2 linked regions of the Saccharomyces cerevisiae S288C genome follow. The protein of the gene in region 1 purifies or fractionates together with the protein of each later gene. This does not show direct contact. Each region holds a gene or a part of one and is shown on either strand. Other genes may lie near its edges.

Region 1 (3,511 bases):
AACTTAAGAGTTTCTCTACAAGTCAACCTAGGAGAGAGTACATCTTGTTGAGGTAGGTACGCCATTATTACGTGTTTCTGGATGGGATGGTCTTGGCCATCCAAGTGAGCCCTCTTAGGCTCTGTTTCATTGGGTTCTGAACCTGTATCTTCCAATACGTACCGTATAGAACCATTATGAGTTAACCCACCACTGATCTTGGATGCCAGAACATTCAGCAACGTAGTCTTCCCTGACCCCGAACCACCCATAACTGCCATGACCGACCCACTGGGCAGGTCCATGGAAAACGTATTAACTAGCGTCGTATTTGTTTTGGATGCAACGATTGACAAATCCCTTACATGAAGGCTTATTCTAGGGATTCTTGAGAAGGAAAGTCTATTTTCGATTAATTCAGTGGCCACATCACCATTCTCCTGCTGTGACATAGTGGCTGCAAGTGGATGTTTGGCGTTGGTGATTGTAGCTTAAAATACGATGATCGTTTGAAAACTGCCAAGCACTTGTGCCTACTTCTGCATTTACATCACAAATTCGTTTATCTCATCACTAGATCCTTCCTTTTTTTTTTTTCACTTTCTGATATTTCGTATAAGTGTCAACCCAACAATACTAAAGCCAGACATATGATAGAAGTAACTGCCTCACATGGCTGTAAACGATGTTGCTAAACCGTTGCTATGTTTATTTGTTTATGTAGGTATATGCTGATATAAATCATCTCCTAAAGGTATCCAAAAATTGGACTCCCAGTGGTCTTGCAGGTTCATCGGCACCAGGCTCGTCATCACCAGCGCTAGAGGTATTTGTAGGGGTGGTGCTTGAACCACGAAGCGGTAGGCTTGTAGGCCCAGAGTTGCCTGTATTTCCATTTCCTGTAGCAGCAGTAGCTGCTTCTACAGTGGCTCTTGCTGCTGCTGTATTCGTGGCCGCATTGGCCGCTATAGCAACGTTAGCCCTCGTGGGTGGGCCTTGAGAGATGAAATAGGATACAAACGGTATTCTCCAATGGTCTAATCCCGGTAACAGGCCCTTATCGATGAAAATACCACACATCCAGCTTATGAATCCGCATAGTATTCCTGCAAACCCCTGATTTAATATAAGCAGGAGAATTAACCCATTTAAAAGAAACTGATCGTTGATTTTCCACTCTACGGCGCTCTTGTCTTCTCGCTTGTTATCATTGTGACTTGATGCTCCTCCTCGAGGTCCTAGTAATCTTATATTCCATTCGTAAATCTGAGGGGTGTATTCTTTGTAAAAATGTACTAAGCTTAAAACAATGGGCAGTGAACCTGTACTAAAATTGTTCCATTGAAGCCACTTGTACTGTCCAATAAATGCGTTCCAGATCAGATTCAATCCCCAAATTCCTAAGGTGGTGTAGGCCCATGACAAAACAATCAAGGTCAAGTACTTGTGGGATCCTAGTAGCCGTTCTAAATGCCTAAACAGATACCATATCAACGCCAGTATTACTGTATCGGATTCATTGATGGCGCAGAACTGGAATATGAGCAGACGGTAGTATTGATGGTAGGTCTGCAGAAAAGGATCATATTGCAATAGAAATATATGTTTGTAACTTGCAATCGAGGCAACTAAGGGAACCACAAGCGTCGTGATCATGGCTAGCTTGGTGACGGGCATAGCCGTAAGCCCCACAGGAGGCTCCATAGACATTATTTGTAGACTATTGTGTTTGCTTTTTATGTCGTTGACTTTCTCTCCCTTTAATAGTTAAGTTTATACGTCAAATTTCTCTTCTATACTTTTCCAAAAAAAAAAAACCATCTTCACATCAATGGCATTCAAAGTAAGAAACAGGGCAGGGATAAAAGGATAGATAGCAATGGACATGGCCAACCAGTTGCTAGATGAATTAGCACATGGAAATTTTTCCCACCTAACGCTAAACTTGTCCCAAAATGGTAGGGAAATTGCTATCTTACAGAAGCAATTGACCGGATTTGATGATAAACAGCTAGAAACGTTTGTAGAACAACACCCGGCTATGCCCAATGATACGAGATTCAAAATCATGTGTACATCCTTTTTAAATTATGCCCGAGATGTCGACCCATGGTCAGCCTGGTCCAGTTCGGATCTAATTTTTGAGTTTTATCAATGTTTAATCAACTGTCTCATCAACGACAATGCTCCTCACATAGAAATGTTGATACCAGTAGCAACTAGAGAAACAGAATTTATCATCAATCTCGCTGGGAAACTAGACTCTTTCCACTTGCAACTGCATACGAGAAGTCACCAATTTCTATCACATATATCGTCCATCCTATCAAGACTATTTAACAGCATCAAACCTCCACGAGGTAACGCATCTTCTACAAATATACCTGGAAAACAACGAATACTGCTCTACCTGGTCAATAAACTAAATAACATCTACTTCAGGATCGAGTCACCGCAATTATGTTCCAATATCTTTAAGAACTTTCAGCCAAAAAGCATGCTTGCACATTTCAACGAATACCAGCTCGACCAGCAAATAGAATACAGATATCTATTAGGAAGGTACTACTTGTTGAACTCTCAAGTACATAATGCCTTCGTTCAATTCAATGAAGCTTTCCAGTCCTTATTGAACTTGCCGTTAACGAACCAAGCGATCACTAGGAATGGCACCAGAATACTAAATTACATGATCCCTACAGGGCTGATACTGGGAAAGATGGTCAAATGGGGACCGTTGCGACCGTTCCTTTCCCAAGAAACAATTGATAATTGGAGTGTTCTCTACAAACACGTACGTTATGGGAATATTCAAGGCGTGAGTCTCTGGCTGAGACAAAACGAGCGTCATTTGTGTGCAAGACAGTTACTGATCGTGCTCCTAGAGAAACTGCCCATGGTAACGTACAGAAATCTGATTAAAACGGTAATAAAGTCCTGGACCACCGAATGGGGTCAGAACAAATTACCGTACTCCTTGATAGAACGGGTACTACAGCTATCTATTGGTCCGACATTCGAGGATCCCGGCGCCCAGGAAATTACCATTTATAATGGCATTCACTCCCCCAAGAACGTCGAAAACGTACTTGTGACACTGATTAACTTGGGACTTTTACGCGCAAACTGTTTCCCACAGTTACAACTGTGTGTAGTGAAAAAGACTACAATGATACAAGAGATTGTTCCGCCGGTTAATGAACGAATCACCAAGATGTTTCCTGCCCATTCTCACGTTCTTTGGTGATATGTAGATATATATAGGAAATAGAAGAGAAGGAGCGACATTATGCTGTTTCTTACAGATTTCATAAGAGACTAGATTTTAAGTATATTTAGGATATATAAGAAAGGCGAAATTTGTAAAAAAAGAACAGGAGGAAAAAAGGGAGTACACTTTAAAAAGGAGCACATAAATGCACAATATGTTTCCAGCACTCACAAAGACACTGTCGTTGCAAGGCTACAAGATTATCAACTCTCAAACAGGGTCCGCTGCATGGTCGTGCGGTCGTAGGTGGTTTAGTAGTGA
Region 2 (3,600 bases), on another chromosome or scaffold:
TCTTGAATTTGATTCTACCAACCATCCTGACTATGATGTATCTAAAAAGGCTTCTGAAATTTCAGTTAGCTCAAGATCTGACAGAGAATACCCACTATTAATCAGAATGTCTTATGGCTCGCATGACAAGAAAACAAAATGCTCAACAGTGGTAAAAGCAAGTGAGTTAGATCAATTTTGGCAAGAGTATTCATCTGTATTTAAGGGGGGCATGCAGAATTTGATCAAGAAGAAGAAAAAGAAGAGTAAGAACGGTACCATCAGTAAGACAGGAAAGAAAAACAAGGTAGCGAAGAAAAACTGATGCACGTGACACTTGAGTCAAAAGGCATGTGCGCCTCTTGTTATCTTTGGATGTGTAGATTAAAGGATGGCAACGTAGATATAAAAGATTAATTGCATAAAGTTGTGTAGATATAAATTTAACTAAACTTTAGAATAAACGTTTTGAGATGACTATTTTTGAAATTCCTTTCATTCGTCCAGGCGTTCCATTACAATATTTCCTGATGGATATATGCCGCTAACGTCAGATATTTTGGTAGATAAATCAAGCTCTCTTCTTGGTACCGGCGTGATCAATTTGAAGCTATACTGGTGCTGATAATTAGCAGGTTGGTATACGGGTAAAGTATCGTTTTCTGAGTTCAACATGTCATGCAACTGTAATTCTACGAAGGCATATATCTCCTCCGTTGGTAGAGATGCGTCAAACTTTCTCACTAATCTCTGCCCATTTTCTAGTCTGATCGCAACTTTGCTTGCATCTTTATCAGAAGAGGGTTCGGGTTTTAGTTGGCTTTTTCTCCACAATAGCCATTGGTTTTCTATTCTTTGGTGCTCTCTTTCCATTTGTTCTCTTTGGGTCTGTTCCAATCTTTCTGATTCTCTTTGTTGATCACGTCTTAAGGAATCCTGGTATCTTGAATCCTGTTGTTGTCTTATTAATCTCTGCATTTCAATATTTTGTCTTTGCTGACGCAATTGAATTAATCGAGAATAATTCTTGGAGAATATGGCCTCCAAATCTTGGGCTTTGTAGTTAGAAATAGAACCTTCAACTCTTGCTATTAACTCTATTTTTTTCTCAGCCTTTAAAGAAATTATTCCAAGTAGGGGATATTGCCTAATTTTTAATGCATTGGAAACTTGCAACCCCTCGGATGTAGTAACGTCACCATACCATAGTAATACCTGGTACTTCCTTATCATGTTAACAAAGGCTTCTGAGCACAATATTTTATTAACGTAATCCATATGATTATCCAACAATGGGTCATGTAAATAAATGACTCCAAATTTCACTTGTTCGCTACAAGCATCCAATAATTCAGTGTAACTATTTTGCATAATGCTTTTGGAAAATGTTCCATTTTCAGGGTTGTATAAAGAACCAAAACTAAACTGGACCCCACTGCTCTCATTGTTGCTCGTACTGTCAGTATTGCTGCCATCATCATTATTCCCGTTACCTTCAGAACACGTTACAGCTTGAGCTTCGTTTTCTAGATTTTCTAAAAGACGGTGTAATTGGGAACTGTGGTCTAGTAAACGGTTGTGCTTCCTCTGGTAGAATCCGTGAAGTCTTAATAGAGGTTTTAAAAGACGTGAACTTCGGACAATGAAATTCAATAAATAATAAAGAACTATTAGGGGAGCTTGAAATAAAAAATGGAGTATTGATTTTAAGCGTCCATCCCGGCTCTGTGTGGGTTCATTTGTATTGCTGTTTTGATCTTCTGTCCTTCCATTCAAATCAGCAGGTGGTTCTTCTCTAAAAGCACCTGGGATTCGAATAAAGGAATCATCATTATTTCCAAAAGTATGCCTAAATATATCCATGTTTAAAGGGTATGTTTAAATCGCAGTCAAGCCGATTGATGAGGTACAACAAAATTTGGGAGTACGATTGCCCGCTGTTTTTGAACTTACTCTCACTTTTTGCTTCGTATGTAATTAAGCAAGGATGTGTTACAATAAGATTTCGCTTTGTTATTATCGTTTTAAAAGCGGTCGCCGAAGTGTCGAATAAAGGACAATGATAACGTAAAGAGAAAGAAATTGGAAAGAGACTGACCGCTAAGGAGATTGAATACATATATATAATAGTATGTGGTTAACTTGGAGAAGATAAATTGGATTTAAAGTAGTGGATAATTTTTCTTACATTTTCTATTGGTAAACCATAGACAGGGTTGACATCAGTAAGTTTCGATGATCCAATTAGGCGGTCTGGAGTACACTTAATATTATGTGGAGAATCATTAGGAGTGCAACTGTATGAACTTTCCGCAACAGCCAGTCCTAATAGGCAATAATTTGTATGGTAAAAGTCTGAGTGGGCCCCTGGTTTATCTCTCAAACCAGGTTGCTCTTTTTCTTGGCAACAGTACAATATGTAGTCCCGAAGAGCATGTTTGTTGAAGCATTGGCCATATCCAAAAGCTTCAAGAATGGCAGCCGAACCTCCAACCCAAAAACTATAGCAACCGTCAACAAGTTTGTTGCTCCTTCCGCAAAATCCTCGTTCTTCTTGCAATTGACGAGCACTAGACCATTCTAAAAGCTTTTCAACATTTATTTGGTCCATGGACCTTAAAATTGCTAGACTAGCTGTAGCACAGAAAGTATAGCCTCCGTGTGCCTCATCTACGTGAGGACAACTGCCGAATCCACCTTCATAATTTTGACAATTTTTCAAATAGTTTAACACACCTTCTGTAAGCTCTTCTGTAAGAATATTTAATAAGGTTGCTATGCTCAAGGCACAGTATATACCTCTTGTATCCACTTCTCCGACTTCTAAACAGGTCTTGAATCCTCCATTAGGCTCTTTCAACGATATCAGCCATTGGTAAATTCCTTTTCGATCAATTCTGTCCCAGCATCCATCTATGTTATCGCAAAGGGAGAGAGCATTAATTGCAGCATAAGTGCTGGCCAAATGAGATAATTGGCCAGGACCTCCACCAAAGGGTCCTCCTGAAGGACTAATAGTAAAGAGCTTATCTACAATTTTTCTTTTGGTGTCATCTGAAAGCCAGTCTCTGTCCATTACCTTCAATGAGTTAGCAATCCAATATAGCATCCACGGTTGTGAAGCATCTAGTGCTGTCATTTGTGGAGGTAACGATATCTCAAAAGCGACATCCAAGTACATTTTGTGAAACTCTTTCGTGAGAGCAGGTTCTATATTCTTTTCATCATCGTATATCTCTAATACACTTTGTAGTACTTTGTATCGTGCTTCTGTAGTGTCGGTTTCTAGTTCCTTCATCAATGGTTGGATTGCTTTACTTGAATCTACATGCGCTATATCGACGACTCTTTCCATAACTGGTCTCTTTCTTCCTAATAAGGCAGTATTTATAAATTTAGCCCTAGCTATGGACCTTCCTACTCTCTGTCGCATACGCTTTGATTGCCTATAGCTTTACAAGCACTGCAGTTGTTTCTGCATAAGAACGGCGATGATATGGACCCTTGCTTGGTTTATCCTAGCCACTTTCGCGTGTTTCAGTTTCAAGCTTTCCTAATCAGGCAACAGCTTATACGAAAAGATTAATAAGTTACAATGTTAAACAGTTTCGCTTCAAGACC

What was found.
Region 2: the proteins of DSC2 (region 1) and UBX3 purify together in Saccharomyces cerevisiae (affinity purification with western blotting; 5 studies listed by BioGRID, with this or other methods). This does not show direct contact.

What each region holds. Positions count from the first base shown.
Region 1 is NC_001147.6:193,112-196,622, forward strand, and holds DSC2 (Dsc2p), read right to left. Parts: upstream 1,690-3,511; coding exon 721-1,689; downstream 1-720. Other genes in the region: YOL075C (uncharacterized protein), read right to left, coding at 1-431; THP1 (Thp1p), read left to right, coding at 1,859-3,226; succinate dehydrogenase assembly factor SDH5, read left to right, coding at 3,396-3,511.
Region 2 is NC_001136.10:292,918-296,517, forward strand, and holds UBX3 (clathrin-mediated endocytosis regulator UBX3), read right to left. Parts: upstream 1,843-3,600; coding exon 475-1,842; downstream 1-474. Other genes in the region: RNA-binding signal recognition particle subunit SRP14, read left to right, coding at 1-304; RAM1 (protein farnesyltransferase), read right to left, coding at 2,117-3,412.